Ovis aries: one gene and its partners. The protein of the gene in region 2 purifies or fractionates together with the protein of the main gene of each other region. This does not show direct contact. Links are inferred from orthologs where the notes say so. Each region holds a gene or a part of one and is shown on either strand. Other genes may lie near its edges.

Region 1 (4,049 bases), on a different chromosome or scaffold from region 2:
CAGCCTCATCATCACTGATTTCCTTCTCACGTTCTTTCTCCAGCTAGAAGTATCAAAGATGACAGTTTCAGAGTACAAAAAAGCAAAAAAAAAACCCCAAAGTCCATGCAATTCTCTCAAGCAGCAGTTACCTGCACTTGAGTTACCAGTCCATACTCACATAAAGTGTGATGGGATAGCCTATGAACTGAGAGTGCTTCTTCACCACTTCTTTGACCCGCCTCTCTTCCAAGTATTCTGTCTGGTCTTCCTTCAGGTGGAGAATCACTTTGGTACCACGGCCAATAGGCTCACCTAGAAAAAAATTAATCAGAACAGAATATAAGAAACTAAATAAACAAACGCAGAACTATAACTGCTTTACACATACAATACTCAAGATCTTCATTAGTGTTTCCCCAGAATGCTAATCCAGACACCTTAACAGGAAAGCCAACTTACCATGGTCAGCCCGGACAGTGAAGGAACCCCCGGCAGAAGACTCCCAAGCATACTGTTCATCATCATTATGCTTTGTGATCACCACCACTTTCTCTGCCACTAGGTAGGCAGAGTAGAAGCCCACACCAAACTGCCCAATCATGGAGATGTCTGCACCAGCCTGCCAAAAAGTTTAAAAGTCAAACTCAAGTTTCAAAGAAATGGCAAAGCAAACACCAATAATATAAATGGAGTGTGCCTAACCAACCACGTACCTGAAGAGCCTCCATAAATGCTTTAGTGCCAGACTTGGCAATGGTTCCCAAATTATTTACAAGATCAGCTTTGGTCATGCCAATGCCCGTGTCTACCAGAGTCAGAGTACGCTCCTGGGGATTCGGGATGATGTCAATTTTCAGCTCTTTACCACTGTCCAATTTAGAAGGGTCTGTCAGGCTTTCATAGCGAATCTTGTCCAAGGCCTGAAAGTACAAAATTGCAGTTTTACAATTCTGCTTCCTCAAAACCCATCTCACCCAAAAAGTTTTTTAAACTCCCCAAATACGCTAATTCTGATTACTCCTTTAGCTTGTAGGTTGAGAACGACATCCAGTGGGTTACAGTATCCCATCTATCCACAGAGAGCAAGGCAATACTTTTTGGAACAGCAGTTAAGTTTATATCCCCCCTTTATCAGTTAACACCACAAAATGCCAAACCACCCCCACTTTCCCTCTCTTGGAGTACTTGAGAAACAAAAAACCAACGTCAATGAAGACATTCAGGGCACTCACATCAGAAGCATTACTGATCAACTCCCGAAGAAAAATTTCCTTGTTGGAATAGAAGGTGTTGATAATAAGAGACATGAGTTGGGCAATTTCTGCCTGGAAGGCAAATGTCTCCACCTCCTCCTCTCCATGGTGCACTTCCTCAGGCATCTAAAATAAAAAGCAAGAATTTAAGACTCCTCAAGTTCACCCTCAGCCACAATACACTTAAGGAGACTCTATTCAAACTGTTTTGAGCTGGGTACAAAGACTGGAAAATCCTTCCCTCTATCAATTTCAGGCAGCACCCTTAGAAACAACGGGGGGAGGGGCGCACCTAACACACTGAACAAATTGCGCTAATGTTTCTTGCAAGTTATTGTGAACCCAAACTCCTGTTAAGTGAATCATAGATCAGCACAATCTAGTTAGGCACTCCAACCCAGGTATCTCGAAAGCGAGGTAAATTCCCATATATTTAAATACGCAAATTACTATCGTTCCACCTTCAAAGTAATTAGTTTCACATTAAAGGGCAATCATTTAAAACTGTCCTCCCATTAGGTAACTCCAAGGAGATAATGTGGTACTGCTGCCTCCCGTAGTAGGGACAGCTAACTCGAGATTGGCGGAATGCCCATCCAGGTGGGCTATCAAGACAAAGAACCGATAAAGAAAGGGCTCCATCGTGACCTCTCTGCACACGTGACTGAAGCTCAAGCCCAAACCAAACACTAAGATGGTGGCCTTAGTCTGCGGGGCCGACTCTCGTCACGGCTGGACATGCGTCGACCACGCGAGGAGGGGGCGCCACCGCGCAGCCTCCCTTCGCCCCAACATCCGGGCACCAGGGCGGGGCGCCGGGCTCCAGAAGCTTCCAGAACAATCTCAGTTCTCGGAGAGGGGCGGGGGAAGGGACGTGCCCACGAATCCCAAAGCCTGCCCCCTCCGCTCGCCAGCCCCTCCTCCACCGAGACGCAGGAAAGATCTGGAAGGATGGAGGAAGCACGACATACGCCGCCGGCGACCGAAAACGGAGCTCTTCGCAGAGCCTCACGGAAAAGCCCCGAAAGAAAGGACTTTAAAAAAATTGTGTCCGATAGAACAAGTGGCAAAACCTGGTCATGACCAGCCTTGCTGAGTCACAGAGGGCGCGCCCACCCGCCCGGCTCGGGGACCCTCCGGCGCCCCGTAGCCGCGTCCGGAAGTGGAGAGGCAAACATGGCAGCGTCCCGGGCCGGCGCGGCCACCACGTGCAGTGCCTACCCCCCCGCCCCATTCTGCGGCCCCACGAAACAACGCTTTATAGCTGCGGGAAAGCAGCCCCGCCGCCAATCACATAGAGTCTAAACTCAAAAGCTCGCTCCCAGCCCTCCCCCAAGAGAAGCAATGGGAGCGTTACGCCAGAACCGGTCCCAACACGAGATGTAGGTCTCGGAAAGGATGCGTGGGCCGAAAGCAACGCGAAAGAACAAGCTAATCTGAAAAGCCCAGATGAGACAGGAGCCTTACCTTCAAGGATAACAATCACAGGTATTAGAGAACACCGAGCAGGCAATGGCTTCCTCGGGCTCACTCGCCACAAGAAGGCTGCGCGGGGGTGACTCGAGAGAACGGCTGTGTGCCCCCAATCACTTTATATAAGGCGAAGCACCGCCCAGCTGCCCGCCCCCGGATCCCTCCGCCTTAAAGGAGGATGCCTGTCTGCCGCGCACCTGCCGCCGCCCGCCCGCCCACCTTGACGTCACGGTCCAAAATAGGGGAGGGGACCTTGAAAGGCGGGAGCCGCCGGCCTTGAGATCAAGTACACTTATTTACTCCTGTTCACAGCCCCGTCTCCGCGTTCCTAAAACAGGACACCATCAGAAACATATGTTGGGAGTAATCATATAACATAAACGGTGGAACTAGAAGCGAGGATTCCCCACTGACCTCTGTGAAAACCTGCAGGGCAGGCATCTCCACTCCTGACAGTCCCAGCCTCGGGACTAAGGTCCAAGCCTAAACAGGGGTCACCCACTCCCCCCTACGCTCCGAGGCTCGACCTCCTCATTAGAAGCTGCCCTACACATACTCTAATTGCCTGATACGGGAAAGGGTTCTTTTCCGCGGGCGTTGCGGAATTAAAGGTCCCACTTTGTGGGCATGCCTGGAATACAGGCCCTCCCGCGGCGGGCCGGCGTTTCGCGGCGAGGCGTGGCTCCGGCTGCGGGCCGGGCGCTGGCTCCAGCCGGCCAGGGGACTCTTTGACTGCACACGCGGCGGAAGGATCCAGGGCGGCGGCGCTGCGACACTTCCAGCAGCTTCCAGACCGGCCGGGGCGGCCCTGCCCCGCCCCTTCCCTTGAGGCCCCGCCCCGCCCTCTGCGGCCTGGGCTGTGCCTCCGCGGTGGCTCCGCCCCTCAACCGCACTGCTGGGATCCTGGTGTCCAAGTAGGCTATACCTTCATTACATTTCCTCCAGGAAACTGCAGAGGGGATCCATTACCCTACCCGCCAGACCCAGCTAGCCGGGCACTGCGTCCGGGTGGGGTGGAGCGGGGATGACCCCACTTCTCCCCCCATCGATCACACAGCACACCGGCCGGTGGGGCGGCTCTGAGGGTGCCGCCTTCCGAGAGCAGACACTGGGGATGCGGTCGCTTACCCGACGGACCGCTCCCACCCCCAACCCCCAGCCGCCCACAGGTGAGGGAGCGCAGAGACTTGAATATCGAGTTGTTTCTCAGTCTGGCTTCCTTTTTCTTTTTTTTCCCCACCCTCTTCCCTCCTCCTGCAGCTGCCTAGATCTGGGAAGAGTCCGGTCTCCCAGGACTCCTGCAGGGTGGCAGGAGTTCTTGGAGGCAGCATGAGGACGCTG
Region 2 (4,304 bases):
CCACCCTCTCCCCCTCAAAGCCACTGGCCCCTCCCCAGACTCAAGTATAAACCCCTCCATTCTCCGCCCCCCACCCTGGCATCTTTCAGCAAAGCAAGTGACAGGCATACAGGCTGTCAGTCAAGGACCCCTTGAGCCCCTCCCTGCCCCAGAGAGGAGAAAGGGGCCATGAGAGAAGGGAGTCAGAGTTGGGGATGTGAAGAGGCATCGACTGGCCGTCTCACACAGTGAGAGAGCAATGGGAAGGCTGGGGGTGGGGGTGGTGGCGCGGGTTGTGCAGAAAAACAAAGAGATAGCAAAACAGAGACACCTAGGAAGAGGAACTGACAGGAAGAGACTGGCAGAGAGACAGAGACAGACGAGAAGAAAGACTGATAAGCAAAGGGAGACAGAGAGATAAGCAGAGAGAGCCAGAGAAAGCAAGACAGTGGGGAGAGAAAGAAAGAAGTAAAAGCAGGCATGCGGGGCTGGGGGATTTCTGCTGCCCTGGGGCCCTGCCCAGCTTCTGGATCTCACACACCAGGGAGTTCCTGAGAAGTCAGCTGCCCTTGCAGGGCCACGTCGTGTCCCCCCACAATGCCCCCCACCCCTGCCGCACACACACAGGGGCTCCTGACTCACTGCCTGTTCTCAGAACTCTCTCCCTCTACCCTGTGCTTCCTCAGCCTGTGGGAACCAGGGCCAGCCTGAATGACCACTCCTCGCACATACACACACTGCCTGCCCTTCCCAGACTTGGCCCCTGCAGGACACCCAGGTGTCAGGTCATCAGTCCCCTGAGGTCTAGGGAGTGAATTCCAGTGACTCTGAGAGTTGGTCCCTGTCCTACCCACTCACCCCCCAGCTCCTGCCAAGAGAGCCTAGAGGTGTAGGGACCTCAGGAGTGGGTGAGGGACCCGGGGAGGGAGTGAGAAGGTAGGGTGGCCGAGCGTGTGCAAACTGTCAGGAAGCGTGCTCAAAGCTGCCTCATTCGTTCGGATTCATAATCAATCTGTCTATTCGAGTCCATTATCTCCTCGTTAGCTCTGCGGGTGAAGGAGGAGGAGGGGACCTTGCAGATGGAGGCAGGGGTTAGACTGCTGCCCCACCCAGAGGGGCAGCTCCACTCACACCCTGCATGGCTTCCAGCCCCCCGGCCCCGACCTGCCCACACTCCCCACTCCCACTTCCCCCCTGCTGGACCCACAAGGGGCTTGAAAGGGAATCAAGAAAAGAGAGTGCTGATGGGGACCATTCCAAAGCCTGGACCCTGCTTTGCAGACCCAGAGTGATAAATGCACAGGACTGGGGGTGGCAGTCTGGACTTCGGGCCTCCCTCCCATCATGCAGAAACCTAGGTCCAGACCAAGACAAGGCCATCTCTCCTCCCGGCCTCCCTAGGGCCATTAGGGAGCAAGATGGAGTACCTTCCCGTTAATTACCACAAGATACCCGAGTAACTCAGTGCCAATTATCGTAGGCTGCTCAAGTCACTTCCAGACATTGATAGCCCCTGCCACAGATACCTTTCAGCCTATTACTGCATGAGGCCAGGGTTCCTTGCCCACTGTCTAACCCCAGGCCTAATAGGAGGAGGATATTCTAGCAGGTCCTTTCTTCTTCTAGAAGTCTAGCTGGCCCCACCAGCCACATAGAATACTCAAGTATTTTCCAGGCACCATCATATGATACTTGAGTATCTCTAAGCCAATTATTATAGAATACTCCCATAAGTTTCACCAGTTGCTAAAAAGTACTTGAGTATTTTGTGACCAATTAATGCAGGATGTCAGAGCACTGCAAATGTTGAAGATTCCTCCCAGTTTCAGATCTGGAAGGGAGGAGAATCTCTCAGCAAGGGCACTGTCTCCCTATCCAAAGTAGGGAGAAAAGGGTGGTGAAGGAGATGGGGATGGGAGAGGGGAGCTTGGAGGGGCTCTCATTTCCTACCTCCAAATCAAGCTGTGGTGGGGAGGAGAGATGGTGGAAATGGGGAGAGGAGAGCTCAACCACCAAGCTATGGCCCCTCAGCGCCTCCCACCTATTTCAGTTCAATTTCCAATTCAAGAGAGAACAGCTGACTTTGCCTGGTCATGACAAGGAAGGGGGTACGGGAGGATTTATCCCTGGGAAAGGAAAATGGTAAAGGTACCATACTGGGGGTGGGGAATGTTCTCTGCAGATAACCGCCTTCTGTATAGGGCAGAGGGTGGGCTCCTGGCTGAGCTCCAGGAAGCTATTTCTAGAAGGCTGGGCTCTCTCGGATCTGGTCCACAGAGAGCCCCCCTTCCTCTCCTCGAAGCTAGCACCTAAGCTGCCCTAAGCCCAGCATCTAGGCAGTAACTGCGGAGGCTGTCAGGGCAGCAGAGGAAAACCAAGGCACAGCCGAGACTGGCTTGTGTTATCAGTCTCCCGCCGCACCCGCTCCTCCTGATATAGCACGCAAGCGGTGAGTCCGCGCCCACGGGGCACGGCCATGCCCGCCTGTCCCCGCGCCCCCTGGCTCGCCAGACACTCACAGCTCCGTCAGGTTCTCGGTGCCTGGCAGGTGGCGGAGGTTATCCAGGGCCCCCGGCCGGGTGCAGCGCAGCCCCGAAGGGCCGTGGGGGCAGCAGACATCGGGGCAGGATGCAGCGCCCGCAGATGCCAGCATCAACCAGGCCAGCAGGCTTCCCGGCCCTGTAGCCCGGAGGTGCCCGCCAGGTTGCCCGCCCCGTCCGCCTCGTAGCATCGCGACGGCGCCCGCCTCGCCGCGGCCGGGCAGCCGTCTGTGCGCTTGCAGCTGCCGCTGCCAGGCCTCCCCCGACATGTGCGCTGGGCGGTGTTAAAGACCAGCCGCCAGGAAAGGGCGGAGCCAGAGGCCCCCGCCCGGCCTCGCCCCGCCCCTTCTGTCTCCAACCCCGCCCTCTCCTCTTCTAAGTCGCGAACTCTGCCCCAACCCTTTTTCGAGGCCCCCTGCTCCAGCCTACTCCCCCAAGGTCCCCCAGCTCCAGTAGATGCGGAGGGGCAGCCTCAGAAAGCCTCAGAGGTGTCTGCTGGGAATGGGGCTATGGGAAGTTGATACATTATTTTTCCCAGCCTAAAGCCGCTGCATTTAGCTGGGAGGGGAGATGACTGAGCTTGGAAACCGTGGTAGCCCAGGTCATCCTAGCCAGCCCCCGGCCTCAGATCTCACTACGCATGGTGCGCGTACCTGAGGAAGTGTGCATGTCACTTGGGATAAATTAGGGGAAATACTCCCTAAACCCTAGAAAGAAATGGGGAGGGACTCCCAAGAAACCAAACGCAGGAGCTGGAGAAGGAAAAAGAGAAGAGACAGAAAGGGATGATGTCGCCCCCAAACAGCCGGAGAATGGAGACTCGGGAACGGAGACGCCGATTTCCAGGAGAGACCACAGGGTGGCGCTGGCGGCCCGCGCGCAAGGGGTGAGCTCCTCCGGAGTTGGGTGGGTGGGGGCGCAGTCTGCAGCCCCTCACTGGGCTGCGCCTGGCGACCCAGCGTCAGCCACTGACCCGGGCCAGCCAGCACTGGCCCTCAGGCAGGGTAGGGCCAAGCTGGGCTGGGCAGGCATCGATCGCCGCTCTGACAAGAGCATCGATTTCTGCGCGGAGAAATTAATAGATCTTCTCTTAGCTCCTCGGACTCGGGAGCCGCCCGCGGGCGGAGCTGGGGACACGTCGGTCCAGGGAGGCCGTGCACCCGGAAAGCCCCTGGTCCCTAGCACCAGCCAGAGGACGGGTCCCAGCCCCTTCACCCCGCGGGCCTCATGCCTGGGAAAGGGGAAGGAAGAGGAGTCCTGGGGGAGGGACTCTAAAGGAACCCACGAAGGAAGCCCTCCGAGGGGAGAATTTTCCCCACCAGGGCTCCAGAACACATCTTCCCCCCAATTCCCCAAGAAAGAGACAGAGACCGACCCACCGAGCAGCCCGAATTCAGGAAGGTGGCGAGACAGAGGCGGAGCCCACGGGGTGACTGCCCTTTCCACGACGATTTTGTTTGGAACCAAGGGACTTAACTGGGACAGAGCCTAGCGCCAAAAACCTCCTAAGCAGGCTGCGAGGGCCTCGGAGAAGCGAAGGGCTTGGCTATTCCGGAGACGGGTCGTATAACCGCCAGGTTTCAAGCTTAGTTTGTTACCCCGCAGGTGTCAAGGCAGCGGGTAGCAGAACTCAGAACCACCCGTTCCCCGGGGATGGGGGCTGCTTCCTGCCGCTCCGGCTAGCCGTGCACCCCACCTGGGAGAAGTCCTCAGGGGCGGGGGTGGAGGGACCCACCGCTGCTGCAGCGGGGTTGGGGGGAGCCCTGTTCTAGGCCTACCATCCCC
Region 3 (4,176 bases), on a different chromosome or scaffold from region 2:
GGTCGGGGAACTATTAATAGATTCCACATGCTGCAACTAAAGATCCAGCACACTATAACTAAGACCCTGTGCGGTCAAATTAATTAAAAAAAAAAAAAAAAAAAAACCCTCACTGGATCACAGCAAGTCAGTGATATGCAGAAGGAGCAGGATATGAACCCAGTCGGGCAGGCCTGCGCTCACAAGGGTACCAGGCTACCTTTTGGCTAATCCCCTCTTCCACTCTTGGTATTGCTTACTCTTTCCTCCCAGGCGCCGAGCCAAGTTCTTTCAAGATCTAATCTCATTTCATTTTCACGACAGTCTCATGGAGGCGGAGGGCTCGCTCCCCCAAAGCAGTGATGGTCCTGTGGCAGGGCTGGAGCCCAGGCTGCCAGTCACTGGCAGCTGAACCTCGTGCTGGAGACACCAGGCTCCCTGCCTCCACTCATCTCCACGACAGCCCTGGGTCCTCAGCGGTTGGACAGGGAAAGGTTTTGCGCCAGGAGGGAGTAGGGCGTGGTGAGAGGAGGATGCTGTATGAGAGCGGGCATGGCCTCCCAAACCAGCAGGACCAAACCTGGTGATAGAGATCAACTTCGTGACAAGAATAGGTGTTCCCGAGAATGAGCTTTAAAGCTTTGCGGAGAGCTTCAATATTTCATCATAAAATGTCACATATGGCAAGAGAGAAATACTAGAACTTTCTTTTTCCACTCCAGTGGCTTTCCCACCAGGTACACTAGCCAGGTGAAAGGGTTAGTCGCTTAATCGTATCCGACTCTTTGCAACCCCATGGACTGTAGTCCACCAGGCTTCTCTGTCCATGGGATTCTCCCTCCAGGCAAGAATACTGGAGTGGTCACTATTCCCTACTCCAGGAGATATTCCCCACCCAGGGATTGAAGCTGGGTCTCCTGCACCGCAGGCAGATTCTTTACCATCTGAGCCACCAGGGAAGCCCTAGCCAGGAGGCTGCTGCTTTAAGTAATGGGTTGGACCCAGAACTGGGACTAGATGTAGGCACGGATACTGTGTCTCAGCAGGATGAGGAAGGGCGCTTCTAGGTGTTTCTGGATAAACAACTGCAAGCTGATACATGGGAAGACAGAATGAGGTTTTCCTAACTGGAAAGTTCTAGAAGGTATATTCCATAAGTGTGAGAGCAAAGCAGCCCCTGGAATGTGGGTGTAGGAGCTCTGAGTTGGTGGAGCAAGAAGTTAGCACACAAGGTCTCAGGAGAGCCATTCTGTTGGTCTGTGAGCACAGCTGAGCGGCTGCGGGGGTGGGGGGGGGGGTTGCAGGTTGTCGAAAGAACATACAGACTTGGGATTCTGGGGGTCTGTATTTGGGGGAAAATAGATAAAAGAAGGGGCGGTGAATCTGGAATCAGGATGGGTGGGTTCCTTGTAACAGCAGGGTCATTGTGGATGTCTGAGAATAGCACACCAAGTTTGGGTCAGAAGGGAGATGGGATGGATTTGGGTCCTGGACTTGGGTTTGAATGTGGCATTCTGAAGCTGGCAAAGGTTCCCACTGGAAGTCTGTCTTGGGGGTGGGCGGGGACTGGGTGTGAGGTACCAAGGAGGGGCAGGGGTTCTGGCTGGGCAGGAAGCCACGTGGGTAGGGTTTCCTGATGTAATGGGAAATTGGGTCTAACAGTACCAGAGGCTAAAGAAGAGCCTCCGGAATTGGAGGCTCCATCAGGGTGGAGGTGGTGGTTCATTCTGAACAGGACCCAAGTTTCAAAATTCCAGGCCTAGATGAGACTGAGGGCCTTGGGGGGAGGGGGTACCAATCTTTGTTCTAGGGGAGGGGTCCTGGGTGTGGGTTGGAGTCCCAAGCCAGGAACAGAAATCTCAGGGGAAGACAGAATTATTTTATTCAGAGGAGTAAGACTTCTGGATCTGAACCATAAGGATCCAGAAAAGCAGGTCGCAGAACAGACTTAAACTATTGGGAACTCTAGGGTTTTGGAGGACTTCCAGACGGGGCCAGTGGTAAAGAGCCTGCCTGCCAATGCAGGAGACATAAAAGATCCCTGGATCGAGAAGATCCCATGGAAAAGGAAATGCCAACCGACTCCAGTATTCTTGCCTGGAGAATCGCACGGACAGAGAAGCCTGGCGGGCTACAGTCCATGGGGTCACAGAGTTGGACACGACTGAAGCGACTGAGCACAGGGGTTAGGAGGAGCCATGGAACAGCCAAGATCTTAACTGGGTACCCGACTAGGTTCAGGATCCAGATTCTGAGGTAGAAATCTGGGTGTAAATGGAAGATCCCAAGCAGGATTGGGAGGCACGTCAAAAGCTTGTCTTGGCAGTCTAAATTCTAAAAATATACCGTACAGGTCAACCTGGCGTTTCAAGAAGAAACTGGAAGCGCGGGGCGGTGGGGGTGGGGGGGGGGGGGCGGCGCCGGCATCGCGGGCAAGGAACTCAGGGGTCCCGGCAATTCTATGGCCCCGGAATTGAATCGAAGAACCCTAGGCTATTCGGAAAGTCCAGGCTGTAGGGGGCAATCCCAGGTATCAATGGCTGGGGCCCCCCGGCAGTATCAGGGGGTCAGAACTCTGAAGCGGAGTCCCGGGAGTGGGGGAAGGGGCTGGGCGCGCGAGCTCTACCTGGTGCCGCCAGCGGAAGAGGCTAGCGGTGTCGATGTTGGGGTGCGTCTCGTCTTCATCATCAGACACCTCGATGTGGTCCCACACGCTGTAGTCCACCATCTTGCCTCGGGGCCCAGCCCTCCAGGGTTCTGGTAGCGGTGGCGGCGACGGCGGCGGCGGCAGCGGCAGCACTGAGACACAGCCCGCGGAGCCCCGCCCCTTCCGCTTCCGCCCTGACGCTTACACCCCTCCCTCGCGTGACGTCACATCCTTAGTAACCTCAGCAGCGGCACTGGCGACCAAGTTCTTAAAGAGCCCTGCGCACGTGTTCCGGCTCTCGGGAGTCCGCTGAGACCTCACCCCATCCGGCTTCCGGCCTCCACTAGGCCCTTCCTGGGGAATTACGGGTGGGTTCTCCAACCTCGAGCCCCCCTCATCTCCCGCTACCCCACGGTGGGCGTTTACGGCAGCCTTGGGAGAGGGGGCAGTTGGCGAGACTGAAAAAGAGGATTGTCCTCTTAGCCACGCCACAGTGACGTCAGCCTGAGCCCACTACTGGGGCTCGGCCTCGGCGAAAAGACCTCGCTCCCGTCTTTTGTGAAGAGGGACTTAACTTTGTCCTGGAGATGGTGCCTGATGGGAAAGGACCTTCCCAGTACAAGGGGTACAAGGCCCTGCTCTAGGAGGGTCTAAGTGAAGGAAGGTTGTGGCCCTGCCCTCGAGGAGTCGAGATGGGGGCGATGTGGCCCTGCCTTGAGACCTGGTGTTTCCCTGGCTCGGACCACAGCTTCCCCTCTTGCCTCCCCCATCTTCTGCCACTCCTTAGCGGGGATTCGCGCATACACGCCCCCTCTGGAATCACCCGACCGCACTTAACGGGCCTCATTAGCTTGTCTACGGCGGCTCCCCATGCATCCGCTGGGTGTCGCTAGTGTCTAACTAGCGGCCAGTGCGGGTGCCCCGCGCCAGGTGGGGGAGGGGTGGAAGAGCTTGGAAGTGCGCACGCAGGGGGTCTTTCTCCGTCGAGGTACTCTGGGACTCCTCGCAGTCCCTCCCTCTTTCGTCTGGGATCCCCTTCCTCGTTCCAGACTCTAAGAACTCTATTACACTGAGCTTGGGCGACCGCAGCCACACATTTTCATGTATCCCTACCCACGCTTTGATACCGGGATAAAAGGCTGCGTTGCAGCCTAGGGCCAGGATTATCTCAGATTAAAGGGCGCAGGGCGGGGGACAGGGAGAATGGGTAGAGATTCAGCCACTTGAGTGAAGGGCGCCTCTTCCAGACTCCCCCCAACCAAGCAGGCGTTTGGGGGGGCGCTGGAGAGGAAGGAGTAAAGGTCTTTAAATGGGTGGGGTGTGGGGGATTCCCCGGCCCCGGGAAGGGGTGGGGCCATCCGGACAAAAGCGCCCGCCCGCCGCTGCCCCTCCCCCTCACGGTCCATTCAAACCCGCGAGTAGGCGGGCGGGGGCGGGGGAGTCCCCCTTTCCTCCTCCTCCTCCAACCCTGGCAGTTCAGCATCACAGCGGCCGTCAAGGCCCGGGTACGCGCGCGCACGGACCTACATCCCAGCGGGGCTCCCGATCTC

The links. Proteins that work in one complex are often made in the same cells at the same time.
Region 1: the proteins of NTRK1 (region 2) and HSP90AB1 purify together in Homo sapiens (affinity purification with mass spectrometry; 3 studies listed by BioGRID and IntAct, with this or other methods). This does not show direct contact. The link is inferred for Ovis aries from reciprocal best matches to the Homo sapiens genes NTRK1 and HSP90AB1.
Region 3: the proteins of NTRK1 (region 2) and CDC37 purify together in Homo sapiens (affinity purification with mass spectrometry; 3 studies listed by BioGRID and IntAct, with this or other methods). This does not show direct contact. The link is inferred for Ovis aries from reciprocal best matches to the Homo sapiens genes NTRK1 and CDC37.

The regions. Positions count from the first base shown.
Region 1 is NC_056073.1:17,733,384-17,737,432, reverse strand, and holds the start of HSP90AB1 (heat shock protein HSP 90-beta), read right to left. Parts: upstream 2,803-4,049; 5' UTR 2,703-2,802; intron 1,362-2,702; coding exon 1,215-1,361; intron 903-1,214; coding exon 696-902; intron 602-695; coding exon 442-601; intron 295-441; coding exon 161-294; intron 44-160; coding exon 1-43. UniProt on the Homo sapiens protein: Molecular chaperone that promotes the maturation, structural maintenance and proper regulation of specific target proteins involved for instance in cell cycle control and signal transduction. Undergoes a functional cycle linked to its ATPase activity.
Region 2 is NC_056054.1:106,801,809-106,806,112, reverse strand, and holds the start of NTRK1 (high affinity nerve growth factor receptor), read right to left. Parts: upstream 2,806-4,304; 5' UTR 2,789-2,805; coding exon 2,499-2,788; intron 1-2,498. UniProt on the Homo sapiens protein: Receptor tyrosine kinase involved in the development and the maturation of the central and peripheral nervous systems through regulation of proliferation, differentiation and survival of sympathetic and nervous neurons.
Region 3 is NC_056058.1:12,789,709-12,793,884, forward strand, and holds the start of CDC37 (hsp90 co-chaperone Cdc37), read right to left. Parts: upstream 2,803-4,176; 5' UTR 2,708-2,802; coding exon 2,606-2,707; intron 1-2,605. UniProt on the Homo sapiens protein: Co-chaperone that binds to numerous kinases and promotes their interaction with the Hsp90 complex, resulting in stabilization and promotion of their activity. Inhibits HSP90AA1 ATPase activity.